Linked DNA regions of Coturnix japonica. The protein of the gene in region 1 purifies or fractionates together with the protein of each later gene. This does not show direct contact. Links are inferred from orthologs where the notes say so. Each region holds a gene or a part of one and is shown in the gene's direction. Other genes may lie near its edges. The genes, in order: RPA2, ATR, ATRIP, RAD52, CDC45, CDK7 and TOP3A.

Region 1 (4,167 bases):
TGAGGAGTATCATCCCTGGAACAGCAGATAGAACATAGACGTTACTTGTGACTATCAAGGCACGTGGGCAGAGCAAGGCACTGAACGTGCACCTGAGCCTTGTTTTCTTCCTTATCTCATAGGAGATAAAGTCAAGGTCTTTGGGGTAGGAACTTGCACTGTGCACATGGGCTGAAGCAGAGAAGCAGGAGGAAATGGCTCCAAGTGGAAAGCTGCTCCGTTTGGTTCTACTTTATATGTGGGCACTAGAAGCAGGTTTATCCCATTTCAGCACATTTATCCCATTCCAACGTGTTTAATAGATGCTACAGCTGAGTGGGGCATCACGCAAGAGAATATAATGCAACCTGGGGTCAGAACTGGATAACAGCAGGGAAGCAAAAGCTGCCTGCGTTCAATAGAATGAAACAGAATTGAAAAGGAACCCAATGAATGCTCCAAGTAAGGTGAGGATTTAACATGGCTACAGCCCATGGCAATAGACAGGAGGCATTTAACAGCTAAAGCCCACGGCAATAGATAGGGGGCATTTAACACAGCTAAAGCTGAGTCTATGGTAATAGACAGGAGGCATTTGACACAGCTACAGCCCATAGCAATAGATAGGGGGCATTTAATACAGCTAAAGCTGAGTCCATGGTAATAGATAGGAGGCATTTAATGCAGCTAAAGCCTATGGCAATGGATAGGGGGCATTTAACACAGCTAAAGCCCACAGCAATAGATAGAAGGCATTTAACACAGCTACAGCCCATAGTAATAGATAGGGGGCATTTAACACAGCTAAAGCTGAGTCCATGTAACAGACAGGAGGCATTTAATACATCTAAAGCCCACGGCAATGGATAGGGGGCATTTAACACAGCTACAGCCCATAGCAATAGATAGGGGCCATCACTTTGGGACTCAGCCCGCAGGGACTCAATACAATCGGTGCTGTTTCCTCACCCCGTCCATAGCACAAAGTCCGGCCGTGCCCGCAGCCGTTTCATGGCGCTCACAGCGGAGCTGAGCAGCGCCCAGGGCGCATCACATTCGTAGCTGCCCCACGGTCCCCCCGGTCCGGATCCCCCCGACGGGCAGCGCTGCCCGGCCGACAGCGCCTCCTCGTAACCGGGATCCCAGTGTAGGTCCGTCAGGTGCCAGAATGTCCCCGCCATCACCGCCGGCTGCAGCAGCACCAGCAGCGCGGCCGCCCGCACCGTCACCGCCTCCATCATTGAACCTTCACCTGCACGGCCCGCCCCGTCGGGGCACAGAGCCGGGCAGCGCCAGCAACCAACATGGCGGCGTCGGCATCAGCACCGCCGGAAGAAGGAGGGATGTGATTGGATCTTAGCGCTGGAAGAAAGAGAGAGGTGATTGGATCTCGCTATCGGAAGCTGGCGGAAGACGGAGGGCTGTGATTGGCTCCTGGTAGCGGGGCGCGGGACGCGGTGCTGGAGGAGCGGGTGGCTCCGCAGTCGGTGCTGAGGCGCCATGTGGGGCGGACACGGTGCGGGACGGGCGGGTGTGGGGGGATGTGGGGTGTGGGGTGTGAGATGGGTCTGCGCAGCTCACGGCTCCGATCATCCCTTCACAGGTAACTTCGATGGCGGTTACGGCCCCGCGGGGGGATACACGCAGTCACCGGGAGGATTCAGTTCACCAGCGGGCGGGCAGGCCGAGAAGAAGCAGGTAGGGCTGGGCTATGGGGCTGGGCTATGGGGCTGGTTATGGGGCTGGGCTATGGGGCTGGGCTATGGGGCTGTGGGGCTGGGTTGTGGGGCTGTGGGGCCGGGCTGTGGGGCTGTGGGGGCCGGGCTGTGGGGCCCGGGCTGTGGGGCTGTGGGGCCCATCACGTCCCCCTTCACCCCCCCCCACAGCGCAGCCGCTCGCAGAGCATCGTGCCCTGCACCGTGTCGCAGCTGCTGGCAGCCGAGCAGGTGGACGAGGCGTTCCGTATCCATGACGTGGAGATCTCGCAGGTGGGCACCCCCTATAGTCCCACACCCCCGTATAGTCCCACACCCCCTATAACCCCACACCCCTCTCCCATTAAGCTGGTTCTGATGGGCCGCTGGTGTCTCACCCCGCCCCCTGACCGCCCTCCCCCCGCAGGTCACCGTGGTGGGCATCGTTCGACACGCAGAGAAGGCGCCCACCAACATCCTGTACAAGGTGGATGACATGACAGCGGCACCCATGGACGTGAGGCAGTGGGTTGACACCGATGTAAGCAATGGAACCGTCCTGAGGTGCTGCTATGGGGGTAAAACAGTGTGTGAGCTGCATCAATGGATGTCCCTGTTAGAGCCAGGCTGGGTGCTGCGGTAACAGTGATCAGTTGGCAGTGAATGTGGCTGGAGATGAACAGCTGCACTGAGCTGAACAACTGGAAGTAATTAAAGAGATTCTCAGTTGGTTTATCTACAGGTTTGCCATAAGATCCTGTGACTGCTCCCAGAATGCACAGCTGGCACTGATTGCTGTCAAGCCGACAGTGCATCCAAATAAGGATTTCCCATCTGTAGCTACATTTACCTGACTGCTTGTACTGATTGAATGGGTGTCGTTTGTGTTTGATTGAGATAGCAGTCCTAAAGTTGTTTAGTATGATAACTGAGAGATGGATCAGCAGCTCTTTGCTTTCTCCTTTCTCTGTAAGGAGGCAGGTAGTGAGAATATCGTGGTGCCCCCAGGAACTTACGTCAAAGTTGCTGGTCATCTTCGGTCTTTTCAGGTAAGGTCATGTGCGACTCCACAACAAACAAGGCTGGGGCAGCAGCATAAAGGGTTGGTGATGTGGCAGAGCAGGAACAATAATCACAGCATGTTATATAGGAGTCAACTCATAGCAGTCATCCTTGAGATCATGCTGTATGTGTTAAAGCAAAGAGCAATTGCCAGCTGGATCAAAACTTGCCCAGACATGGGCATTTAAGTTGAAAACCTTTGCTAACTAAAGGCAGATGGACTCCCCACCCGCTGCTGCTCCTGTTCCTAACTAGAGTGCTTAAGTTCTATGGCAACCATGTTCCTGTTGCTCCCCTGTTAATGGTATTTGCTGTCTTTTCTCTGGAAGAACAAGAAGAGTTTGGTGGCGTTTAAGATCATGCCTCTGGAAAACATGAACGAGGTCACCACGCACATACTTGAGACTGTTAATGCGCATATGATCCTCAGGAAGAACCTTATGGTGTGTAGTTGAAGGTCATGGTTCCATTACAGCTGTTACTGGTGATCTAAAGGGAGGGACCTCTGGGTTCAGTGGGAAACTGTGCAAGTTGTGGGTCTGGAAAGGCTGAAGGGCTGCAATGGGGTGTGATGAGAGTCTTGATTTCCATTGAGAGACATTCTCATTGCGGCCAGTTTTACTTGGTTTCTGTTGGAAATCTATCTTTAATTATTATGCCTCTGAAAGAAGGCTAAGTCCTTCATGTCCTTCATGCCTTGGGTTTGCAGCAGCCTGTGCACAACAGTTCTTTTATTCAATTACTCTTGTAATTGCAGTCAGCATCAAGAGCACCTCAGTCGTTTACCTCTGTTGGAATGAGTGACGTGGGGGCCTATGGTGGAGGCAGCCTGCCTGTCAATGGACTCACAGCACATCAGAGTCAGGTGGGTGCCAGCACCTTCTCCAGAGCACAGCTGACACAGTGGGTGCTGCTGCTTTGTGTTGTAGGACCAAGAAATAAAAGCTCAGTTATTCTTGGAAGGCTGATAATCCTTTTTTGGCCCCGCTGTTCAGTGCTGATAGAGCTGAGCTGTGTGCTGATGATGGTTCACGTTCTTCCAGGTGCTGAACCTGATTAAAAACTGCCATTCTCCAGACGGGATGAGTCTCCAAGAGCTGAAACTTCAGCTCCACAATGTCAGCATACCAACAATCAAGTAAGTGTGTAGAAGCTGATGTTTTTGGGGGCGTCAGGTCCCACGTAGGTGGGAAATGGTTGAGAGGAAGGCATTGATGTGAGCCAGGTACTAATGGACTTCTTTCCTTCCAAGGCAAGCAGTTGAATTCCTTAGCAGCGAGGGACACATCTACTCTACTGTGGATGATGATCACTATAAGTCTACGGATGCTGACTGAAGCTCTTTCCACCTGGATTTGCTCCCAGCCAAGTGCTTCTCGGTGTCTCGAATTAACCTGCTGAGCTTTGCAACTTGGAAGGTGATGTTTGCTTT
Region 2 (3,500 bases), on another chromosome or scaffold:
CTCAACAAGAGACTACGTGGAGAAAGTGAATATGTGTAACAAAGTAACCTTCATTCAAAAATTGATTTTCTTAAACACGCAGAAGTGGAGTGCTGAACTATCTTTGTTTCACTCAAAAATTTCAAAGCTTCTGATTACTTCAGTTGAAACTTGGCATGCTAGCAGTGTAACAAAAACATGAGGAATTCATGTAGGGTGGTCAGTTGTCTTGTGTGTTTTTTGGAGAAGCTAGGAGTATGGAAAAGAGGCAGTTTTCTGAGATTCAAGTGGCATTGTGAGTTCAGTTTACTAGCCATTCTGAAGTCCATCTGAAAGCCTTTATGCAAATCCAGAGATACCAAGGTTATGTGTATTCTCCTGCTCGTGTATTACTTGCTGCTGTTTCATGAGGCTTTTATATTATTTTGATATCTTTTGATATGTAGAATGTCAACATTTGGGGGTATCAATGCTATTATTTGTTGATAGGGAAAAAAACATAAGAAGCATCTTAGTTAGCTTACATGAAATATGTCTTTTTTTTTTTTTCTTTAAACCCTTTCACTAGTAAAAATTCCACTGAATGATCAGATTCTTGATGATATATGTGGATTGCTGTCTCTACCCTGGATTTGCAGCCATCCTGATGATTCTTCTTTTAAAACATATGCTTTTGGAACTGATCCTCTAGTTTTGAGTCGAAAAACTGCACAAAGTTTTTGTAAGTATGTTAAATTATGTAAGTCTCTCAGAAATGATTGTGCTATGGTGAAATTGCTTTCTTTGCCTTGTCAGAATCAATATTCATAGTGGACAATAAGTAATGTTTTTGTTTTTTTTCTTCAGCACCTCAAACTCAGTCACGCTGTGTGTTCCTTCTATCTCTCTTCCCAAGAAACATTCATCTGGATTGGAGAAAATCCATTTACTATTGGGCACTACAAAGTCCCTATGAAGTAGTTCGGGCTACATGTGTTAAAGGATTCTCTTTCCTGCTTCATCCACCAAGTGTGCAGTCTTTCAGTATGATTCCAAAGGCTCTTTTGTATGTGTTAATATTATCTTTTATCTTTCATGCATGAAGAAAACTGCATGTATAAGGAATTAATTATAAAGATTGAAATAAATGTTTGTTTGTATTTCATGCAGAATTTAGTAGACTTAGATTTTAGAACTCATAAGAGATATCAACAGAATGTGTATACATGAAGATAGGCTAGCATTTACATACCAGATCAGTATACAAGTTTCTTTGCTTCTTGAAGGCCTTATTTCTAAACAATAAATAAAAACTTATGAAGAGAAATGTCTTTGTCAGTAAAATATGTATTTGTACATATATCTTTTAAAAATCTTTCCAGTTTTTCTTCCTTCTGTATCTGTTTTTTGCCCTCTTCTGTTCTACTGTCTATGGTCTTTAGTTGATTTATAATGTTCCAAGCACATTATGGGCCAGTATGGCTTCAGACATTTCAGATAAGCTTGACCTTAGTTGAAAAGGAAAGCTATTATCTAGTAAAGCAGATCCTAATATTGAGAAAACAGCAGGACAATTTAGTTAGAGAAACCAGACAATGTAGATATGTAAATTTTAGTGTTTAATAGATTGCTTAATTTATTAAAATGTTTTTGTTTTTATGTCAATTTCAGAAATCAAATTCAAGATGAGTCTGATCTAGTCAAGGAGGCTTGTGCTGCTACTATTGGGAAATTATCTTGCTGCCTTTCTGGTACATTCAGTATACAGCCTCCTTTAGCAGGCTCTGCTATAAAGCATGTTACCTGCGATATTTTGTGTAACAGCCTTATTGTGCCTTCTGCTCATGAAAAAACTTCTTCTGTGCAAGCCTCTGTTTTTAAGCCATTTCTTATTCTTCTTGAGAACAAAGTATCCAGTTTGGTAAAACTAGGTAAGATTTTATTTTACTACGTTTCTGTACATTCCTTTTTTAATATATATTGCTTTGGGTAGGTGGTTTTGTTTTGTCATTGGTTTCTTTTTTTGTAGCTAAGCTGCTGCTTGAAATGTTGTATTTCAGTTGAAATCAGTGACAATTTTAGAAGTTATGATAATCCTTTTAAACTGCTGTGGTTAATTTTAATTTGTGGCAACACCCAGGAAAGTAATACTTGATAAAATCTAAATTTTGAATAACTTTTTTAATTTCTCAATATTTACTCTTTTCAGAAATAAGTGTGTGCTTCAGTGCTTATTTCTATCATTGTTTTATTTAAAAAAATAAATTAAAAGATAAACTAATTAAAAAGTATCTTTTTCTTTCCTCCATAGCATTTATAGAAAACATACCTCACCTTTGCAAACATCTGGATTTTAACAGTGATGAGTCAAGTGTGAAGGTTCTCATCGGGTCTTTATTAAATTTAATGGAAGATCCAGACAAAGATGTACGAGTGGCTTTCAGTGACTGCATAAAGAACATATTAGAATCCTTAGATTCTGAAGAAGGATTCATAAAAGAGGTGAATTCATATTTACTTTTTGTTGTTTTTCTCTACTTCGTTTACTAATGTGTTTTGTTTTTATGTGATTTAGCTCTTTGTTTCAAGAATGAAAGAAGCATATACACATGCCAAAATATCAAGGAATAATGAGCTTAAAGATACCTTGATTCTCACAACAGGAGATATTGGAAGGTAATTTTTGACAATACAGTGATAAACGCTAAGTACTCTCAGTTTGTGAGATGGGTAACTTTTTGTTAAGTTCACTTACTTGGAGATCAGCCTTTGTCCAAAGTCCTTTGCAACTGTAGTAAGCTTCTGAAGCACATAAAATTTACAGCATTCTGTTTTAGTGGTACTATGGCAGGTACAGTCTAGCTATTGATATGCGATGAAGAGTTGTTTAGCATTATGGTGATTACCTATTGTTAAGACATTTTGTTCGTGCAATGACTTTTTTGTTCTAGTTACTTTTTATTTGCTTGCTTTTTAAGGGCATCAAAAGGAGATTTGATACCATTTGCCCTCCTGCACTTGTTGCATTGTTTGTTGTCCAAGTCAGCCTCTGTGGCTGGAGCAGCATACACAGAAATTCGGTCCCTGGCAGCAGCTAAGTCCATAAAACTACAAGCTTTTTTCAGTCAGTACAAGAAACCTATCTGTCAGGTAAAAATAAGAGTTGGTGACTTATAAAGACGTTGATTCAAGTTTTTGTTCTGTGTTTTGAAAATGTTACTGAAGATAAATATTACTTTATTTTACAAGATGAAATCTCTTAGGGTAGGAAAGAGATTATTTAAAGTTTAAAAAAAAACAACACTTTATGGAAAAAGTGGAAAGTATTTGATCTTGTCATTAGTCTTCTCCCTTCTCAGCACTGATTTTCACTTCTATTCCCTAGGTGCCTTAATGCTGACATAGAGGACCTGTATATGTTCTTGCATTATATGGTACCATTGTCATTGGAGGCTAGAATGTAAACTAGGAATTTAAGTCAAACTTTATTACAGGCATAATCATGCCACGGTTAGCATTTCCTAAAGGCAGAAATTCTGCTT
Region 3 (4,063 bases), on another chromosome or scaffold:
AACTAGAAAGAAGATAGACAAATCCCCCAACCCCTGTCAGAACATTGGGGCGTGATGAAACGCGGCTCCAAATGAACACGTGCCTTGAAAAAGGTAAAAAATACTTGAGTGATTTGTGCCCTGCAGCCAAACTGGAATGACCCTGAGAAAAGTCTGTGCAGACAAGTCAGTGGAGATCGATGTGCAGCTCCTGGCTTCTGTGTTAATCCCCTTTGTGTTATTGCTTGCAAATGGAGTTTGGTTTTGTTGTTTTATTTCAAAAACAAAGTGTTCATCTGGACTACAAATCCACCATGAGTCGCTACAACGTGGCTTTTTATTACAAATACCAGAATCGCCTCGAAAATAGAAATGTGTAAAACAATCAGCCGTCTGTACAGTGCATTTACAGTACATGGTCCAGAGGAACACGCGGATCCAAGACCCGCTTTAGCCCTTGGCCACACAGCATTGGCAGTACGATACAACCCGAATGCCACAGGGTGAAACTACCATTAACTACTCGTTAAAAAAAACACCAATCGAGAGACCTCGGTTACAATGGAGTTTATCACACAACTGGGATACGTACAATAGCTGTACAAGAAACAGCAGCTTCTAACTAGAAACAGTCATCATGTTGTAACTCTCGGACGGGCTGGACCGGCCAGTTCTCCACTTCTTACAGCTGTTCCTGCTCTCCAGGGGTTTACTCGCCTTGGCCCCGGGCTGTGGATTCTCATAGAGGACGCAGATGGAGCCGTCCTCTCCTATCCGATACGACACCTCGAAAGGGTCGACCCAAAGAGTCAATTCGTTGGGCAAGAGCTGGAACAGTCTCTCGTGGCTCAGTCCGATGGTCGCCGCCGCTTTGCCGATCAGCGGGTCCATCTGGTGGTTGATCCTAATGCACCGATACCCGGAGCCTTTGGTGGGCGCCGTGGGGAACCAGTGGTGCCTGTAGTGTTCTACGGGAGGGAACAAAGAGCGGCGTTAGTGTCAGCGTTACAGCCCGTCCGTGCGCCGCGGGCTCGGGCCGGGCCGTGTCCCCCCGCTCACCGCGCAGCGCCTCCTGCAGGCGCTCCCTGAAGCACCGCAGCTGCTCGTCACCGATCCCGCCGGCGGCCCGCAGGAGCCGGGTGACGAACGCCGCGGCCGTCGAGATCTCGGTTCTCATGGCCGCTCGGCTGCCGCTCGTCGCCGTTCCGGCCCGGCCCGCCGCTACCGCACCGCACCGCTCCGCCCGGGACAACGCTCCGGCCAATGGCGGCGTCGCGCAGCGACACGTCACAATGACGCGTCCCGCCCCGCGCCCCCCTGCGACGGCAGAACAGGATCCCCATTGGTCGAGATGGGCGAGGGGCGGGGCTTACGGGACACCGCGAGCGGCCATTGGGCGGCGCAGGAGACGGGCCGTGTTTGTTTTGCTGCTGAGCGGCGCGGTGACACGGAGTAACGGGACGGGGTGTGTAACCATGGTGACAGCTTGGGGCCTTGAGCGGCCGCCCGACTGCTGCTGCTATTGGGAACCGGAATCACACCAACACTATCCAGGCTCCGAGCTGTCCCCGTCAGGGCTGTGCGTCCATGTTAGTGCGGCGTTACGGGAGCTCACAGCTGGGGAACGTCACGGAGCAGCGGCAACAAGTGACGTAGTATTTCCGTATATCGAGTATTGCCGCACGGCATGGCGCGGTGTGACGTCACTACGTCAGCGTGGCGTCACTACGTCGGTGTGACGTCACTCATCCCACCGCCCTGCCCATCCAATCAGCGAGCTGCTCACAGCGCGTCACGCGGCGACCAATGGCGGCGGCGCTTGACCCTCGGGGGCCGCCTTAGGTGCGGTCTGCCATTGGCCGGGCAGGAGGAGCTCTCGCCGCTGATTGGCCACGGTTCGTCGCGCGGGTTCCCGTCCGTCGCGCGGCGTAGCGGTGCTGCCGCCATGTCGTTGCAGCTGCCGTTCGTTCCGCGGAAGCGCAGCGGTACCGACATGTGCGGGCCGGGCCGGGCGGCGGGACCCGCTGCGGACAGTGCGCTGCGGAACGGGATCCCGCCCAGCAAACGGCACAAGGGGCCGCCGGGGAGCGGGGCGGAGGAAGATCCTTTCGGGGACAACGACGACTTCACGGCGGACGATCTGGAGGAGATCGACACCATCGCTTCCCAGGCGCTGTGTGAGCCGCTGTGTCCGGGTGTCACCGCGCCGGGCCCGGCCCCGCACAGCGCTCAGCTCACAGCGCCCTTCCAGCTGCAGGTGCTGCGGGCACAGCACGACGATACACGGAGGAAGGTCAGAGCACATGGGAATATAAGGGGGGATCGGCCGCGGTGCTGGGCCGGGAGGGTCGGGATCCGCGCTGGGAAAGGCTCTGAGTGGGAACGGCACAATGAGTTTGCGGGGTGTGGTGCCACCATTGCCCAGCAGCGGGTGCTCATCTGTCGGCTTTCATCTGTCCTGTCAAACCCGGAGCAGCGCTGTGTCCTTCATGGTTTGAAAGAAGAGCATTTAAGGGGATGGGGTCACTGAGCCTTGTGGAAAGGCACCGCTTAGACCACACCATCATCACCTTAAAGGCCCTTTAAGGCCTTTACTTTAAGGCCCTCCAACCTTCTGCAGTGTGCAGGGACATCACAGCTCTATCGGTGCTCACAGCCCGCTGGGTGTCTGCAGGGATGAGGCACCACCACCTCTCTGGGTAACCTGTGCCAGTGCCTAACCACCATCACTGCAATAACTTTATGTCCATTCTAAATCCCCCCTCCTGTAGCTGGAAACCATCTCCCTCAAAAAAGGGATGGAAGCAGTGCAGAAAAGCCCACCGTCAGACACCAAAACACTGTAATTCTATTAGAGAATGTCACGGAGCCTGATTTAATAAGGAAAAGAAATAGAAGCCAGACTGTGGGATATCTAAACTGAGCTGTAGCAACACACTCCATCTTTGACCACATAGAGAGCAATACAGATACTAAATGCTGAATGTGCTGCTTAATGGAATTCATCTCTTTGCAGCTGAAAGAAATGCAGGATGAAATTCTTACTAAAAATGGAGAAATCAAAGTTCTGCGTGACTGGATGCAGCAGATGGAGCGTGAGATGGAGGAGCAGAAGAGGTCGTACGTGCTGTTGGAACAGCAGCAATCTCAGGCCCTTGGTGAAAAAGAAAGAGAGTTCTCCAAAAAGGTTTGTAGCTCAGTCAGTCACCTCAACACAACACACAGAAAGAAGCCTGCAACCTTGAGATCTTACAGACATTTGCTTTGCAGTTGGATTAACACTTGCCTATTCTGTAACAGTAAAACCATCTCCTTAATTCTTCCAGTTACTGTCACTGCAGTCAGAGTTGCAGTTCAAAGATGCAGAAATGAATGAATTAAGAACGCGACTTCAGAACTGTGAAAGAAATAAGCACGTCACTCAGACGGTTGTGCCACAAAGGTGTGTATGGGGGTTTGGGGAAATAACCTGTGTTTCTTTTTGTTCACACTTGAATTAGGACAGATGTTTCCTGTCTCTGTGTGACTCTTAGGTCCATTTCCTTGAGAAAATACAACCAAAACCATTCTTTTGACCTAAACAGATGCTGGGACAGAAATGCAGGGGATGTAGAGTGAAGTACCTCTTTAACATCAGTACCAAGAAAGCTATTAAATAGATCTGTAATAAAATAGAAATAGATCTTTAATAAAATGCTCCCAAAACAGACATTGGTTCATTGGAGCTGGAGGGGAATTTGTTGGTATCTTGTTGTTTTCGTTTATTTTTTGTAGCCCTAAAAAGAACGTTGCAATCCAGATGAAATCAGAAGGGTGTCCTCCGCAGCCTGGAAAAAGGTCTTTTCCTACAAAAGAGTCTTTCAATGCTGAAACTGCTGCCAGACCCTCTTCTTCTTCTTCAGGAAACTGGTTTGCACAGACAGTTTCCAGCAAGGAAGGTAAACATGAACACAACTTGCAGTATTTTTAGCTGCTTGTGAACATTCTGCCTTAGATTCAGGTTTTGGCCCAGTGTGACCCAGCAGTTCCAGTAAGGTCAGGGCAGGAACAAGGGTGGTTCTTTCGGTATGACATTGCTTACATT
Region 4 (3,500 bases), on another chromosome or scaffold:
AAGCCCTTCAAAAGCTTTGTTGCCCTTCTTTGAACCTGCTCCAGCACCTCCATGCCCTTTCTGTGCTGAGGTGCCCAAAACTGAGCACAGTACTTGAGGAAGTTAGAAGTTACCGTCCCCTTCGAAGCATGTGAACAGTCCAAATTGAAAGATGCCATACAGTATTGGTTTAGAGGACTTTTCTTGCAGTTATTATATATTAGTATGAATGTTTCGTCAAAAAATAGAGTTACTGAACTCCTGTTTTGTCTTTACCCGGGGTTGGGGCAGAAATACCGATTCCCCAGCTGTTGAATTTGATGCCACGTACCAGCGGAAACTGCGACAAAAGCAGCTGCAGCAACAGTTCCGGGAACAGATGGAGAAGAGACGTCAGGCTGCAGAAGTTACTCCCAGCAGCAAACAGGGTAAGATGGGCCATTAGAAGCTGACAGTTTTAATGGTAGCTGCTGGCAGACAAGTGTTACTCTCAGTATGGGAGCCTGATCAGTTTCTTTTGTTTTATACTGTGCTATTAAACTCCTTTGAGACGGAAGAAAGGAAGATCCTCACACTCCTGTCCCTACATTCTTAAAGCGGCTCTAAAACCACATCACTAAAACTGCAGCTTTCCAACCATGCCAAAGCTTTGTGCAGTGCAGCCACTGTCACCTGTACCATTACTGTGCTGCATCAGAGCTGAGGCTGCAGTGCTTCACTGAAGTGGCTGCAGGCAAGCAGACGTTGCATGAGCTGCTGGTAGGTTACTTTTCACTTGTGGGAAGTCTGGACAGATATGTGGTAAGCAGGAACATGGGGATGGGGTAAAAGCATTGATAGTATTGCAGTTGCTCTCACTAGTCATCAGCAGCATCCATACTATTGTATATACTGCTTCCAAAATCTAAGCAGCTGTGGGAAAAGGGGGTACCTGGGAGCAATCACTTCAGACTCATGGTCTGTCTGCTAAGCAGGAACAGAAGAGTTCTGTATTTCAGACTTTAATCTCTTCTTGTGTTACCTCTGTACAGCAACAGCCAATCCTCCCGTAAAACACAGCACTCCGGCAGCAGCACAACAGGAGCTGGCAATCGAAGAAGAGTTCTTTGCAGGTCAGCCAAGAGTAAAGAACAGCAGCATATTGAATCGTTGGTATTTAGATTAATTCTTCAACGTGTAATGGTAGAAGTTGTGAAGAGGTTGGAGTACAAGTGGGAGTCTGACCTTAGCAGTACTAACCTTGCTTGAATGGCAGGAAAACAATGTTAGAACATGCAATAGATGAGATGTCCATCAGTATGTGAAGTGTTACCCTATGCTGTTCAGTAGAGCACCGGTAGACATATTTGGCAATTTCTTCTTTTCTGGTGACACTTCACAAAAACAGAACATGGGTGGGGAGGGAAAGTGCCTTTTCTTAACACAGCTCCAGCTATTTGGGTCACACAGCGCAGCGCATGGACCTTGCTGAAGTTCATTTTCTGCTTTTGCACTGACATAAAAGATACCTTACAGTTTAACTCCTATAGTGGCCACCACTGTAGGAAAAGTGTGGGCTGGTCCTGGAGTTCCTCTTGGTTCCATCATCTTTTCATCTGTTCTAGATGATCTTGAACTTTGGGACATTTCCTTGGAGACAACCGACCTTAACAAGTTGATGTGTCACAAAGCAGCAGGCCCAGCAGCGGCACAGCAGCCCCCTGAGACGCCCCGCGGATGTCACCAGATGACAACTCGTAACAGGACGCCTCAGAGAACGCATCATCACAAACCTTCTGCCAGGTTTGCACAGTTGCAGCCATCTGCTGCTCTCGCGAGCAACAGCTACGGTGCCAACCAACACACACCAGGTATGCGCTGTGATAAATGACTGAGTTCTTTCTCAACAGCGGCTCTTGGCTTGGAAAGCTTTGCTGTCAGATTAGTAATCTGGAGTGGGGAGAAACATCCCTTTTTTTGTGTGGAGTGCTGTGATAGCGGGACAGGACAACTCTTTCCATCCAACTGTCTTCTCAGGGAAGAGCTAAAAAATAAATCAATGAGTACTTTTAGAAGCAAATCACAGAATGGCCCAGGTTGGAAGGGACCTCAAGGATCATGAATCTCCATCCCACCCTGCTGCAGGCAGGGCTGCCAACCTCCACATTTAATACTAGACCAGGCTGCCCAGGGCCCCATCCAACCTGGCCTTGAACACCTCCAGGGATGGGGCATCCACAAGCTCTCTGGGCAGCTGTTCCAGCACTTCAACACTCTCACAGTAAAGAACTTCCCTCCTTCAACTTAAAACTGTTTCCTCTTGTCTTGCTGTTATCCACTCTTCCAAAGAAAAGCTTTAAGGAACTTCCCTTTCTCACTCTCTGTCTCCCTGTGCAGCAGAGCGCAGCCCTCACAGGAGAAGTCAAAGCTGGAAGAAACGGAGGCTGGAACCTACATAGGACACACAGCGGCATCATTACCTACATGCTGGATTACATCATAAGACTGCAGTTGGCTGCTCAAAGTACGTGAGGAAGCTGCATCTATTAATAGATTGTCCTGAAGCAACACAGAATAGCCAGAGAGGCACAGCCAGCAAGAACTGTGTGTGCTTTGGGGTTATTATAATGTCCAGACTTTTTTTTTTCTATAAACACACAATCATTTGTGCCCCTGCACAACCCGTGGCTGTTTTGCTAAGAATTTGCCTGAAAATTATAGCATAAGTAAACCTTCCAACGAGATGCCACAGCTGCTTTCCTGCTCAGCGTCGCATTTTGGCATGCAGAAAAGTTTTCCCCAATAAAAAGAGGACAGGGTGGGCTCCAGGCCCAGGAAAGCAACCAACTGCTGTGTCCCATTCCCTCAGGCTGTTTGCAGCTGTGGCAGCCTCTGCCTCTCACATGCAGCCCAGCTGCCTGCCCAGAGGCTGCACAAGGAGGGGCAGAGCATCGCCCTGACACAGCTCTGCCTCAGCTCACCCCTCAAGCCCACACAGCACCAGGGCGGGAACACAAAGGGACTGCTACCGAGGAGTACATACAGCATCTAAGCACTTGTTTGGACCCTTTATGAAATGAATGAGAGCCCCTTTTTTTACCTGTAGTGTTTTAAATAAGCTTTTACTCCTTTTTAACACAAGAATAAACACTAAATTTGGACAGGCAAACCACTTGTTATTTCTACCTTCTTCCTATTCACTTCCACAAGCTCAGAGCAAAGCAACAGCTATTCCTCGTAGTAATAAACTCAAAGGAAGACCTTCCAAGCCGCGTTTAGGCAGTACCAGCTTGAAAGGCCCTGCTCTGGTGAGGCAACAGTTCTGCTGGGCAGCTGTTGGATCTCTCCCTCTCCTGGTGAAGGGGCTCAGCTTTGCAGCCCCTGCTGCCTCAGGCAGGTGCTGGGCACCACCAGCAGAGCGGTGGCAGCGCCCTCTGTGCCTGAAGCAGCTTGAGCCATGCAGGGCTCGAGAGGGGAAGTTGGTTCTGTGTTACGCAGCAGCAGCAGCAGGATGGTGCAGCATGGCTGGAAGGGGGAGCTGA
Region 5 (4,279 bases), on another chromosome or scaffold:
TTATTTCAGCTTCTCAAAACTACAAACCCAGGAGGGAATGGAGATCCAGAAGCACTGAACTGCCTTTGTACTTGGGGCTTTAATGCCTCCATTTACACGGGGACTGGGGATTAGCAATCACATCACCCTGAGCTCAGAGATGAGCCAGCACTGGGTATTATTTCAGTACAGGAATTTATTATTGTTGGTCCTGCTGCCAACCCAACTGCTCACCGACACAAAACCCCACAGCTACGCTTTCTAATGACCTTATCTCATATCCTTTATTTGATCGGGCCCAAACAGACACCCAACGTGCCGTGCTGTGTGGTGCCGTGTTTGTACTTCTGCTCTTAGTCTTTCCTAACGCTGTTACGCCAGAAGAAAACATGCACTTACTGAGCTGATCCAAAGCAGACGGCGGCATAATTACTGCAGGTAGGAAACAGAGAGTAACATCAGGACAGTCAGGGCCGTGCAGACAGAACGGAGCTCAATTCCGCCGGCACCGCGACCACGTTCGTTCTAAGAACTCGCACAGATTCGTTTCACAGTAGGAAACCGCGGGGGATCAGTCACAGCTCAACGGGCCGTCGGGGCGAACCCGAACCAGCACCAAGGCCCGGCCGGTCCCGCCCCATCCCCCGTCCCGGCCCCGCTCGTTCCCCGCCCGGTTCCGCCCCATCAGCTCCGCACCCCGCTCAGCTCAACCCGCCCCGAGTCAAAGAAAACAGACACATACTCTTCCCTCCTTTCTCCACATCTGACCTGTCATTGGGCCCGGCCAACATGGACACGGAGAAACAGCGGTACTGAGTGGAGAAACGGTTCTGGAACACGCGGGGGATGGGATGGTCGAACATGTTGAACGAGAACTGCGGGACAAACAGCCGCGTCAGCACGGCCCGTGTGCGGCCCTGACTGAGCGACACAGCCGGGCGGCGTCATTACGGCCTTATTAATTACGGCCTTATTAATTACGGCGTTATCACGGCGTTATTACGGTGTTATCACGGTGTTATCGCGGCCCTGTCCGCCCCGTTCCCGCCCCGTTCCCGCCGCTCACCATGTTGGCCGCCCGCCTCAGCTCCCTCAGCCGCTCCCGGTGCTGACGCCGGACGCGGCCGCTGCGCTGCCGGACGCCGCTGATCCGCCCCCGGCTCCGCCCCCCGGCCGCCATGTTGGATGAGGGCAGGATGCCGCCGGTGAGGCCGTGCCGTTGTAGCCGTTGCTATGGCGGTTTGTGAGCGCTCAGCCCGCCGGTACCGAACGGAGCCGCCCCGGCCCGTGCCGGAACAAGGCGCGTCTGCGGGCAGAACGAACAAACTGCCCTCGACAAAGATGGCGGCAACGGCAACTGAGCCCGGCGCGGCACTTCCGGCCCGCTGCCATTGGCCTGCCTCGCCGTCGCGTCTCCCTTGCACAGATCTCATTGGCGAACACCCGATGGCGGCTCGCCCAATCCGCGCTGCGAATTAGCGACGGCCGCTTTTCCAGTGGCCAATGGGAAGCGGCGCTGCTTTGGCGCCCACTTTGAGCGGCGCGGCCATCGGCGCCGTTCCCTCAGCGCTGCGCTGCCGCCATGTTCGTCACCGACTGCCGCCAGCAGTTCTACGATGTGATCGTCAGCCAGGTGCGGCAAGGCCGGGACGGGCCGGCTCCGGGAGCGACCGGCTCCGTCAGCGCCGGGACCGAGGCGGCTGCTCCGCTCCCGAGGGGCCGTGGGGGGAACGGGCCGCGCTGTGTGTAAGGCCGGGGAGGGTTGTGTGCTCTGCAGGCCGTGCTTTGTGGTGCTCCGGTCTGCCGCGTTCCTGCTGCTCTTTTGTTTAGCAGAGGCAGCTCTAGATTTGCCTTTAAAAAAAAAATAAAAAAAAGATTAACCTTTTTAAAATCTCTTGTTAACCACCGCAGTGTTGCACGCCCAGACGCTGGATCTCGTACTCTCTTTAGTTTACCCTCAGTCCCGCTTTCCTCTTAGCCTGGTTTTGCCCCTCGGCGATCCGCGTCCTGAAGCGGGAAAGCTTCCCTTCCCTTCCCCTCCCTTCCCTGGGGCGCTGCGCTGCGTTCTGCCCGTGTTACTTCCACAGTCCGTGCGATGGAAAGTGTTTGAACCTTAAAACAAAAGCTGAGCTACCTGGACATGGTCTATACCAGGCGCTGCCTCGGTCCTGTTTTTGCTCCAGGCTTTCTTAGTTCGAGGCCGTTCAGATGCTGTACTAGAGCTGTGCCTGTTTGAGGCGCACACAGCGGCTGTGGAGCTGCCCGGCCCTGACCCGGTGCCGCAGCGCAGGACGCCGGGTGCTGTGATTGCACGGGCACTTTTGGGCTGTGATTTCACCGCTTTAAGCGGGGCTGCTCGTTGTTCACACTTACCGGGATCCAAATGGTTTATTTTGCTGCAGTGCCTGTTTAGATCCAGTCCTGTTCCGTGCTTATAGTGATCTCTGCTTCAATTCCTCCCTTTCTCATCCCACGGTCACTCATTTTGTGTACTAGCTCACTAGATCTGTCCCCTTTGTTAATATGTCAATACTGTTACTCTATTATTTCTGCAGAGGGTTCTTCTTCTTGTGGCCTCAGACGTTGATGCGTTGTGTGCTTGTAAAATACTCCAGGTAAGTGTTTGTTACCTCTGCGGGCCAACTCAAAAAAAGTCACTGGGATTCTTTGAATGGGTTTGAACTCAGAAAAGGGGAAAAGTTGAAACTGATTCTGTGAAACGTTTTCTCCGTGAGTCCCAGTGTGGACACGCTGTAAGCCGTGCTGCCACAGCCGCTGTCAGCTTGTCAGTTTGGCCATCTTCAAGATAAAGATGGGTATGAAATGGAGTTGTAGTGCAGTGCAGTGATGCAGAAGGGATTGTTTGGCGCTGTAGCTGACAGCTGTTTGCTTCATTTCAGGCTTTATTTCAATGTGATCACGTGCAATATACACTAGTCCCTGTGTCTGGATGGCAAGAACTTGAAACTGCCTTTCTTGAGCATAAAGATCAGGTAAAAAGAGAAGCTGCAGCTCATTGTGTATAGAAATTTATTTCTGTCCTTTCCCCAATTTAAAATGGCAGCTCTTCATGTAATTATATTATTTCTTACCTCAACACGGCGGTTAAGTTTTAATATTCTGCTTCCAAATTTGTTGAGGTATTTTTTGTGATATATGTTTTTTAATATCAGCTCATTTCTGATCAGTTCAACCTGAGCTCGCACAATTTTGGGATGTGGAAGGTGGTGGGACTGGATGTCCAATGTCTGAACTTAAACATGGTCTGTTGTCTTGCACGTTTTTTCCTTCTTAGGGTCATGTTGGTTTTGGCAGCAGTGAGTGCTCTGTGCTCTTGTAGAGGTCTTTGTAGTCTTCCATGTTTCCCACTAATTAAAATGAAAAATGTTTGTTTTGGTTCTGTTTGCAGTTCAAACACTTTGTTTTTATTAACTGTGGTGCTAATGTGGACCTGCTGGAGATCTTGCAGCCTGAAGAAGACACTTATTTTTTTGTGTGCGACAGCCACAGACCCATCAATGTAGTGAATGTTTACAATGAGACACAGGTGAGCTGAGCTTTTCCTTCAGCTTGTGTTGTAACAGACTGTGTGTTCTGTGGGCTGGGGGTGCCTCAGTGCTATTCTGTGTTTGGCAGAACTGCTTGCAGTCAGGAAATGACCGTTACTGATGCAGATATCCAGTAATACTGGCAGAGCAAAAAAACTGCTGTTTTGAGCTCCTAAAACATACACTGTTAGTGCTGTGATGGCTGTCTGGAGAGTTCTCTTCCTGCAGCTCACACTGGTACAAATCAGAAGATAAGCGGAGTACGGTGTGTAACAGCCTCAAGTTCTTTCATGCCGTGCTCTAACTATGATTTCATTGTGGAAAACGAATGCAGTTTCTACTCTTAGGCTGGATAAATAAGCGCGGTCTTCATATAAACACAACTACTGCTTCTTAACACTGGGGTGGATAACAGCCAAAATGAGTTTTGGGTTTCTCTTTTGAAGTATCTGAAGCTTTCACATTTGTTGTTTGAAAGGATGCTTTGCTGAAAAATGTGCCTTTATTCTCGTTAGATTAAACTGTTAGTTAAACAAGACGACGATCTCGATGTTCCTGCTTATGATGATATCTTCAGAGATGAAGAGGACGAAGAAGAGGACTCAGAGAATGACAGCGATGGCTCAGAACCGTCAGATAAACGCAGGCGTTTTGAAGAGGTTTGTTTCTGGTGCTTCATTTTCTAAGTTAGGAAAATAAGCCAGACATAAGAAGTCCTTGGAGCAGATTAATTAACAGCAATAACATATTGG
Region 6 (4,073 bases), on another chromosome or scaffold:
AAGCTACTACTACGGCTGTTTGTCTCATCTTTCCAGAGTCACTAAGTGTCATGTTTCTTCCAACTGAGAGGATAGGGAGCAGCTGCAAATATAGGTTGCAGAGGTTTTTATATTGTTTATATTATTCCATCAGGCACAATAAGCTATTAATGACAGGCAATGATTTTTCTGACATGTAGCATGTTCCATTACAGATTAAAAATCAAAGCGTAAAAATGAAGTTAAATCTAGGACTTGTTTATTAATCTATAACTGCAAAAGAAGACTGGATATCAATTTCCCTTTCTTTTAGAGGAAAATAGTTAACTCTGTCTATTTTTTGCTTTACAGCGTGGAGGTCCAGAATAAGTACGGAAGATATTTGCCACCAACAGATATCACCACTGTTGAAGAAAGAAGTATTGTGTTCATCATAAAAGCTTTTCCTTAATATTATAAATAATGGTATACTGATAGCTTTAATAAAAACCCTATGTGAAGGTGTAAAGGTTGACACAGCACTATTAATTGGTGATGAGAGATTTTCTGTTGATGACTAATAGCAAATGATGGCTACATCATTAGAGTATTTTTCTAACTAGCCATTCTATGAATTTGGCAGTAGAACAAATTGAGTTGCTTTATTTTCCTTGTTAACAGGTCTTTTCATGGCTGATTTCATGGGCAAGATAGACACACTCAGAGACTCCAGAATGGCTTGATTTGGATGGAACCTTAAAAACCATCTATTTCCAGCCCCATGCTGAGGGCAGGGCTGACACCCATTAGATTAGGCTGCCCATGGCTCCAGCTAGTCTGGCCTTGAATACATCCAGGGATGGGGGCATTTACACCTTCTTCAGACAAACTCTTCCAGTTCTTTGACTCCTTCCAACCCCCAACACGAGTTGATAGTTTTCCCCTACCATCTGATCTGAATATCGCCTCTTTTAGTTTAGAACCATTTCTCTGTGTCCTGTCATCATCAGACTATATAAAAAGTCCTACGATGTCCTGTTTATAATAAGCTGCTTTTAAATAAGTTAATTCTCCTGAAGTTCAGGATCCCCACTCTGCTTTTTGTCAGGCCCCCGTTCCTCATGATCACAGACTCAGCCAGGACATGGTTTAACCTCCTTAATGAGCTCTGTGGGGCAGCTGCCCGCTCCGGAGCTAATCACACACAGCCATCAGGGCACGAGCAGCATCGCACAGCGTGTGCCGGGCCGCAGCCCTCCTAGTACCCGCCTCCGAGCTGACGGCATCAGGCTGCGCGCTCATGGTGCAGGTAGGCGGGTCTGGAGGCGGGCGCCGATAAAGGGCCGTGCTGCTCTTCCGTTGTGCCTCGTTCTCCGGCCTTAGGGCTGTGCTGCTTTTCCCAGCTGGCAGCCATGGATGCGCGGGCTCGTGCTAAGCGCTATGAGAAACTAGACTTCTTAGGGGAGGGACAGGTGAGCGGCCGGTGGGTGCGGTGTGGCCGCCGGGGCCCTCTGAGGGGCGGCTGGGTGCGGGAGGGAGCGTGGCTGGCCGGGCCGATCGCCCTCCCGCTCACCCACCGTAGTGACTCTGGCTCTGGGCTGTGGGCTGCCCTGCCGCCGTGGTCACGCGTCTCTTTCTCTCTCTCCCTTTAGTTTGCTACTGTGTATAAGGCAAAGGACAAGAACACGGGTCAGATCGTTGCTATCAAAAAGGTGAGTGTTGGAACACCCCGCTGTGGTGTCACTGGGAGCCTTGTCCTGCACGGTGCTTCTGTTGAACTGCTGTCGTGTGTAGTGTGTGAGAATTCACAGGATTGGTACATTGGAAAAGAAGATCATGTAGTCCATGGGTATCCAGCCTTAATGTCCTGTGCTACGCTGGGAGAGGTGGAATTGTGCTGGACTGAAAACAGTGCCTCCATTTTACTTCTGTGGAAACTATAGCAGATAGAGCACACTCTAAGTTACCAAGAACTATTTTTCAGCATAGACACCACCGTTAATTAGACATTTTCACTAGCAATGAGCTAAAGCCTGCGTGCTGTGTTGCCATAAATCTGTATGAGTGGGGATGACTTGCTGTTGCTGTCACCTGAGCTGAAATTCATCACCTGCTCCCTCACTTTGCTCACACTTACTGTTTGATCTCCATAAATGTTCAGCAAGCTTCTATGAATGTTATTAGGTGCCATTTTTCTGCATGGAGAAATTCAGCAACACACTTTTGCTTCCTCTGTGCATCCATGTCAGATGTCGTTTTGTCAGAGTACCCCCCGCTGCCCTTTTGTCAGATAACAACACCATGTAATGGGAAGGTTCAGCCTCTTACTGCCATGCTAGCATCCGCCTCTGACATCATAGACCACTAACATAGGAGGCATTACTTGCAGAGCAGCCCTTGTAAGATATTCAGAATTGTTAATGTATTTTAATGAACTTATTTTAATCTTTTTTTTTTTAATTAAACAACTAAACTGTTGGGGATTGTGACTTGACCTTATATAATATGAGGCACTTATTTTCAGATTAAACTGGGACATCGATCAGAAGCTAAAGATGGTAAGTGTTAAAACAAGTTCATGCTGTATAAGCTGTCTTTGTTTGTTTTGCTTCTGCTGATTGGGTGATTGATTCCTTCCCAACCTAGAGGGACAGAAAAAATAACATCCGAAATACAGCATTCTCATACTGTATGTTTAACTGTGCGTATATGACTGTTTAGGTGGAACCCAATCACAAGTATAGCATGGAATAATGATATTGGCTTGCATACTTTTTTTTCTGAATATAAAAAATATGTCCACATGAAAGCGGACGTTGTCTCTTTTTTTTTTCTAAAGAAGGAATTAAAATAGGCAGAGTATCAACTAAGCCATCAAGATCTTTGCATCTAAATCTTCGCTGGAATCTTATATGTTGAATGAAACCACCATGGAAATAACACTGTTTTTCAGCTCATGCGTAGGCAAAACATCTTGCACAACATAATGCAGTAGTGTTTGCTTGCCAGTAAGCCAAAGGGATGTGTATTTTCCTTCATAATCTATATCTTCTAGTTGTTATTCATACCTTGCCTGCAGCAGTCTATGTATTTGTGACAGTCTGCTTGGCTTTAACAAATACATGAGTGCTGAGGAAAAGGACTGTAATATTAAGTAATCAATGAACAACAGAATAAGAGGTTTCTTTGCTGGAGTTTAACTTGAAATTATTAATTATATTCTGTTTAATTATTTTTTTCAATATAGGAATCAACAGAACAGCGCTGAGAGAAATAAAATTGTTACAGGAACTAAGCCACCCGAATGTTATTGGTGTAAGTACAGTGAATTTTTGCTGCAGAGACTGGCTTCAGAGAAGGTAAAACTGCACTGGGAAAGGGATCTGGAACAAGGGATCTGAAGTAAAAAAGGCTGCGCTTGTACTGGGGAGCTGCCAGCTTGTGGGTTGGCTCCTGAGTCAGCAAGGGTGGAGCTGGCACATTAGCGGCACAGTTTAAACTCTAGTCCTTATTGTTTGCACCTGATAACAAGCTTAAAGTATCCTAGGGTGAGCTACCAGGTGAGTAACCATTGTTGCTGCCCACTGAGAATGGGGAGGTTCAGTGAGTGAGCACAGCCCACACTGCCCATACAGTGCTGTGGATGTGGATCAAGTGGTGATGAATGTAAATGTTGTCAGTCTGTGCTCAGGAGACTAGCTTTCCTCTTGGAAAGTCTCTGGGACTGCAGGCCTAAACATGTTCTCTATCAGAAAGCAGGTTTATTCCAGAAAGATTTTGGCAACCCAGACAGAGGGCCTGCCCAGAAATGTAGCTGTTCTCTGGCTGCAGGGAGTGCCTGAGCCTGCTGCTGCCTGGGGAGGGTGGCAGGGATTCCACCTGTGTGAGGTGTGAGCAGGTGGATTAGGGTTCCTCTTGATGATGAGGTCTAGGCAGTGAGTAGCCCTGTGCCTGTTTGTCTCTGCCAGTAAATTGAAAATGCACATGCAAACTAAAGTAGAATGGAATTTTAGGAAACGGGAATTATGAGAGTGTCATTCATCATAGCACATTTTGTTTTACAGCTGTTAGATGCATTTGGACACAAATCTAATATTAGCTTAGTATTTGATTTT
Region 7 (3,500 bases), on another chromosome or scaffold:
TGTGGTACAATCCAACCCAAGCAGTGCTTTTTAACAGAGAGTAAATAAATGATTCATTTCTTTTGAAAGCTGTCTAATCTCCCGAGAGTTACCATTGCAAAATGTTATTGCAACAATTCATTGCTATGGATACATGTTGCATTTCGTGTTCAGTTAGTGAGTCATTCTAAAACTAAATGTCAGACCAAGTGGCTTGAGTAGGTCTCATTCAGAGTTTTTTCTGTCTCAGAGAACCCTTGAACGAGAGGTCCAGCAATGCCAAGCTCTGGTCATCTGGACTGACTGCGATCGAGAAGGAGAGAACATCGGTTTTGAGATCATTCATGTCTGCAAAGCTGGTGTGTAGAGCATCTGTTGCATCAATCTGTTTTCCATTAAAATGATGATTTAACAGGTATCACTGCTCAGATCTAGTAACAGATATCATCCTTACTCAGTTGTCATTCTTACATGTCCAGGTCAAATCTTCTGGCTGTAGTTACGATAAATACATGGCTCTGATACACCAGAAATACATTAATACATTGGAAAGATACAAAATATGTTGACAGCACACACTTTTAAAGACAGCAGCAGTATATTAGTTCATGCTTTCCATTGCTGTATGAGTCATTCTGGTTATTATTTTTTTTGTCTGATAGTAAAGCCAAACCTCCAGGTATTCCGAGCACGTTTTTCAGAGATTACACTTCATGCTGTCAGAAGGGCCTGTGAGAATCTCACCCAACCAGATCAAAAAACTAGTGATGCTGTTGAAGTCAGGCAGGAGCTGGACCTCAGGATAGGTAAGTAAACATGCTTTGGAGATGAGAGCTGGTTGCTAGGCCTGAGCTGCTGCATATACCCTTGAAAGCAAGTGAGCAAGAGTGTGGTAAAAAGGCAGGGGACAGACAGCTTACAGTCTGTCATCAACATGTAGCTTATTTTCTATAAACACTTGAACTCTTAGATTGCTTTAGAAACTAGACAGCTAGCTATCAGACTTCCTCACTTCTCAGTGTATGGGAAATTGGTAATCACAGCCTGAACCTATGATTAATCAGCTGATGCTGATTAATTAATTAATTAATTAATGCTGAACTATTCAGTTCTAGCATCCATTTTGTTTTCTCAGGTGCTGCTTTCACCAGATTCCAGACCCTGAGGCTCCGGAAGATTTTCCCTGAGGTTTTAGCAGATCAGCTGATCAGTTACGGCAGTTGCCAGTTCCCAACTCTGGGGTTCGTAGTTGAGCGCTTTAAAGCCATCCAGGCCTTTGTCCCTGAAGCCTTCTATAAAATCAAAGGTATGCTGGAGGAAAACAAGCGCAGTAATCCATTTTAAAGGGTTTAATGTATTTGGAGAGGAAAAACTTCAGGGCAACTAACAAACAATGCTGCAGAAGTGATTTCCCTTGCCATTATCATTAAGCAGAAAGTGGAAAGGTTTCCTAGTAGCATGGTCCCATTGCCTCTGCTGGTTTTCAACTATATTACTACTGTATAACTCTGATCTGGTTTTCAACACAGTGACACATGATCACGAAGATGGCAATGTGGTCTTCAACTGGAAGAGGAACCGGCTCTTTAATCACACAGCGTGCCTGGTTCTTTACCACATGTGTATGGAGGTAGGAAAACTTGTAAAAAAAGACGTATGATCTAATATCAGCCAAACATGTCCTGCATCCTTCTTGTTCAAGATGTTTAAAGAACTGTCTGTGTGAAATCTTCGAGGAAATCTTGTATTTTGATTACTCTCTATTTAGGATCCTGTTGCCACTGTTGTTGAGGTTGGAAGCAAGCCAAAGAGCAAATGGAGACCCCTGCCCCTGGACACTGTGGTATGTTAGAACTATATATTATAAGATTAATTAAAATAAGCTTTAAACAGTTATTTTACTCAGAATAGTTCACAAATACATTTTTTTCTGTCTCTTCCCAACACAGGAACTTGAAAAGTTGGCTTCCCGTAAACTGAAAATAAATGCAAAGGAAACCATGAGAATAGCAGAAAAACTCTATACTCAAGGGTAAGGAAACAAGCTTTGTCTTGGTAAACTTAATTATTTCAAAAATATGTGACTGTTAGTCCAAATCATCCTCAAGCACCTCTTGAAGTTCCCTTCTGTCTTTCTTAAGGTTTATTAGCTATCCCCGAACAGAGACCAACATTTTCCCCAAGGAGCTGAACCTCTCTGCCTTAATACAACAACAAACACAGGACCCCAACTGGGGAGCATTTGCACAGAGGATCTTGGATCAGGGTGGGCCGAACCCTCGGAATGGAACCAAATCAGACCAGGCTCACCCTCCCATTCACCCCACAAAATACACCGCTAACCTGCAGGTAAGTTTAGTATTGCTTGATAAAATAAAGACAGAAATACTATAATATAGTTGTTAGCACAGTATCCGCACCTGAGATTCACTAATATTTCTTAATATCTTGCTAATACTAGAAGAGAGTAACTCTTACTGTTTGATAACAGGGCAACGAACAGAGACTATATGAATTCATTGTGCGCCATTTTTTGGCTTGCTGCTCTCAAGATGCCAAGGGACAGGAAACAACTGTGGAGATTGACATTGCTAACGAGCGATTCATTGCTCAAGGACTTATGATCCTGGCCCGAAATTATCTGGAGGTTTATCCTTATGAGAAGTGGAGTGACAAGGTAACATCCTTGAACAGTGTAGATGGGACTGCCTAAAATACCTGGACTTTAAAACTGCAGATGGGTTGTACTAATGGGAAAGCTTCCCTGCCACTTTCAGGCCCATCTAGAGAATGTCCTTTGACAATTCTTAACACACTGGCTATTTCACTTAGAACTCTCTCTGCTGAACACTAGTGCCACTTAATTATGCCAGCTTTGGATAGATTCTTCCCTTTCTGACACCGCAGCAGAGACCATACAGGGCTGCTTCCACGTGGGGAGGGATACTCACCAAGATGAGCTGCAGTTGCTGTTGTGTGGTGTCTCTGGCAGGTTTTTACTGGCTAATCCTGAGCATCCCAAGACTCAGTCTCCTCCAGAACAGAGTGCTGCTATATTACTGCACCAACTTGCTGGTAGTGTGACAGCTGTTTTCAGTGGATGGTCCAGAAGACAGTTTCAAAGAGATTCTCCTTCCCTTCAGGTTATCCCACTGTATCAGAAAGGGTCTCGCTTTCAGCCCACTACAGTGGAGATGGTGGATGGGGAAACCAGCCCTCCATTGCTCCTCACGGAAGCGGATCTCATTGCACTCATGGAGAAACATGGCATTGGTCAGTATTGGCAGTGTGGCCTTTCACTCTTGAGAGAGCTTTGCTCATAAGCATCTCCTCAACTTCCCTAGTACTAGTTCTTTCCAGCCCACAGAGTAGGGGATTCTCAGAACATCACTTCAGATGAGAAGTCACTTAAATATACAGAGCAGAGAGATAGTAGAAACCTGTGGGCAGCATCCAGTGAAACTAACAAGACTGTACTGTCTCTCCATTACCCAAGGGGATGTGAAGTTTAGGGTCCAGGG

Evidence for each region.
Region 2: the proteins of RPA2 (region 1) and ATR purify together in Homo sapiens (affinity purification with western blotting; 3 studies listed by BioGRID, with this or other methods). This does not show direct contact. The link is inferred for Coturnix japonica from reciprocal best matches to the Homo sapiens genes RPA2 and ATR.
Region 3: the proteins of RPA2 (region 1) and ATRIP purify together in Homo sapiens (affinity purification with western blotting; 5 studies listed by BioGRID, with this or other methods). This does not show direct contact. The link is inferred for Coturnix japonica from reciprocal best matches to the Homo sapiens genes RPA2 and ATRIP.
Region 4: the proteins of RPA2 (region 1) and RAD52 purify together in Homo sapiens (affinity purification with western blotting; 3 studies listed by BioGRID and IntAct, with this or other methods). This does not show direct contact. The link is inferred for Coturnix japonica from reciprocal best matches to the Homo sapiens genes RPA2 and RAD52.
Region 5: the proteins of RPA2 (region 1) and CDC45 purify together in Homo sapiens (affinity purification with western blotting; 3 studies listed by BioGRID and IntAct, with this or other methods). This does not show direct contact. The link is inferred for Coturnix japonica from reciprocal best matches to the Homo sapiens genes RPA2 and CDC45.
Region 6: the proteins of RPA2 (region 1) and CDK7 purify together in Homo sapiens (affinity purification with mass spectrometry; 3 studies listed by BioGRID and IntAct, with this or other methods). This does not show direct contact. The link is inferred for Coturnix japonica from reciprocal best matches to the Homo sapiens genes RPA2 and CDK7.
Region 7: the proteins of RPA2 (region 1) and TOP3A purify together in Homo sapiens (affinity purification with mass spectrometry; 4 studies listed by BioGRID and IntAct, with this or other methods). This does not show direct contact. The link is inferred for Coturnix japonica from reciprocal best matches to the Homo sapiens genes RPA2 and TOP3A.

What each region holds. Positions count from the first base shown.
Region 1 is NC_029538.1:1,359,341-1,363,507, reverse strand, and holds the start of RPA2 (replication protein A 32 kDa subunit), read left to right. Parts: upstream 1-1,367; 5' UTR 1,368-1,479; coding exon 1,480-1,495; intron 1,496-1,582; coding exon 1,583-1,677; intron 1,678-1,865; coding exon 1,866-1,967; intron 1,968-2,100; coding exon 2,101-2,214; intron 2,215-2,647; coding exon 2,648-2,722; intron 2,723-3,064; coding exon 3,065-3,178; intron 3,179-3,492; coding exon 3,493-3,600; intron 3,601-3,778; coding exon 3,779-3,873; intron 3,874-3,987; coding exon 3,988-4,072; 3' UTR 4,073-4,167. Other genes in the region: SMPDL3B (acid sphingomyelinase-like phosphodiesterase 3b), read right to left, coding at 1-15, 949-1,220. UniProt on the Homo sapiens protein: As part of the heterotrimeric replication protein A complex (RPA/RP-A), binds and stabilizes single-stranded DNA intermediates that form during DNA replication or upon DNA stress.
Region 2 is NC_029524.1:8,876,009-8,879,508, reverse strand, and holds part of ATR (serine/threonine-protein kinase ATR), read left to right. Parts: intron 1-547; coding exon 548-700; intron 701-825; coding exon 826-1,024; intron 1,025-1,629; coding exon 1,630-1,889; intron 1,890-2,269; coding exon 2,270-2,460; intron 2,461-2,533; coding exon 2,534-2,634; intron 2,635-2,936; coding exon 2,937-3,108; intron 3,109-3,500. UniProt on the Homo sapiens protein: Serine/threonine protein kinase which activates checkpoint signaling upon genotoxic stresses such as ionizing radiation (IR), ultraviolet light (UV), or DNA replication stalling, thereby acting as a DNA damage sensor.
Region 3 is NC_029527.1:2,068,318-2,072,380, reverse strand, and holds the start of ATRIP (ATR-interacting protein), read left to right. Parts: upstream 1-1,263; 5' UTR 1,264-1,666; coding exon 1,667-2,272; intron 2,273-2,995; coding exon 2,996-3,166; intron 3,167-3,305; coding exon 3,306-3,421; intron 3,422-3,753; coding exon 3,754-3,917; intron 3,918-4,063. Other genes in the region: protein BTG1-like, read right to left, coding at 598-947, 1,039-1,156. UniProt on the Homo sapiens protein: Required for checkpoint signaling after DNA damage. Required for ATR expression, possibly by stabilizing the protein.
Region 4 is NC_029516.1:52,087,154-52,090,653, forward strand, and holds part of RAD52 (DNA repair protein RAD52 homolog), read left to right. Parts: intron 1-270; coding exon 271-407; intron 408-1,010; coding exon 1,011-1,091; intron 1,092-1,583; coding exon 1,584-1,829; intron 1,830-2,355; coding exon 2,356-2,417; 3' UTR 2,418-3,500. UniProt on the Homo sapiens protein: Involved in double-stranded break repair. Plays a central role in genetic recombination and DNA repair by promoting the annealing of complementary single-stranded DNA and by stimulation of the RAD51 recombinase.
Region 5 is NC_029530.1:517,913-522,191, forward strand, and holds the start of CDC45 (cell division control protein 45 homolog), read left to right. Parts: upstream 1-1,479; 5' UTR 1,480-1,561; coding exon 1,562-1,612; intron 1,613-2,534; coding exon 2,535-2,594; intron 2,595-2,879; coding exon 2,880-2,972; intron 2,973-3,388; coding exon 3,389-3,526; intron 3,527-4,042; coding exon 4,043-4,186; intron 4,187-4,279. Other genes in the region: UFD1 (ubiquitin recognition factor in ER-associated degradation protein 1), read right to left, coding at 379-411, 722-854, 1,046-1,159. UniProt on the Homo sapiens protein: Required for initiation of chromosomal DNA replication. Core component of CDC45-MCM-GINS (CMG) helicase, the molecular machine that unwinds template DNA during replication, and around which the replisome is built.
Region 6 is NC_029547.1:13,177,188-13,181,260, reverse strand, and holds the start of CDK7 (cyclin-dependent kinase 7), read left to right. Parts: upstream 1-1,273; 5' UTR 1,274-1,370; coding exon 1,371-1,430; intron 1,431-1,610; coding exon 1,611-1,670; intron 1,671-2,482; coding exon 2,483-2,516; intron 2,517-3,205; coding exon 3,206-3,273; intron 3,274-4,022; coding exon 4,023-4,073. Other genes in the region: MRPS36 (28S ribosomal protein S36, mitochondrial), read left to right, coding at 331-348. UniProt on the Homo sapiens protein: Serine/threonine kinase involved in cell cycle control and in RNA polymerase II-mediated RNA transcription. Cyclin-dependent kinases (CDKs) are activated by the binding to a cyclin and mediate the progression through the cell cycle.
Region 7 is NC_029529.1:5,110,334-5,113,833, reverse strand, and holds part of TOP3A (DNA topoisomerase 3-alpha), read left to right. Parts: intron 1-229; coding exon 230-338; intron 339-641; coding exon 642-785; intron 786-1,114; coding exon 1,115-1,285; intron 1,286-1,508; coding exon 1,509-1,609; intron 1,610-1,747; coding exon 1,748-1,822; intron 1,823-1,928; coding exon 1,929-2,011; intron 2,012-2,120; coding exon 2,121-2,328; intron 2,329-2,470; coding exon 2,471-2,656; intron 2,657-3,122; coding exon 3,123-3,252; intron 3,253-3,500. UniProt on the Homo sapiens protein: Releases the supercoiling and torsional tension of DNA introduced during the DNA replication and transcription by transiently cleaving and rejoining one strand of the DNA duplex.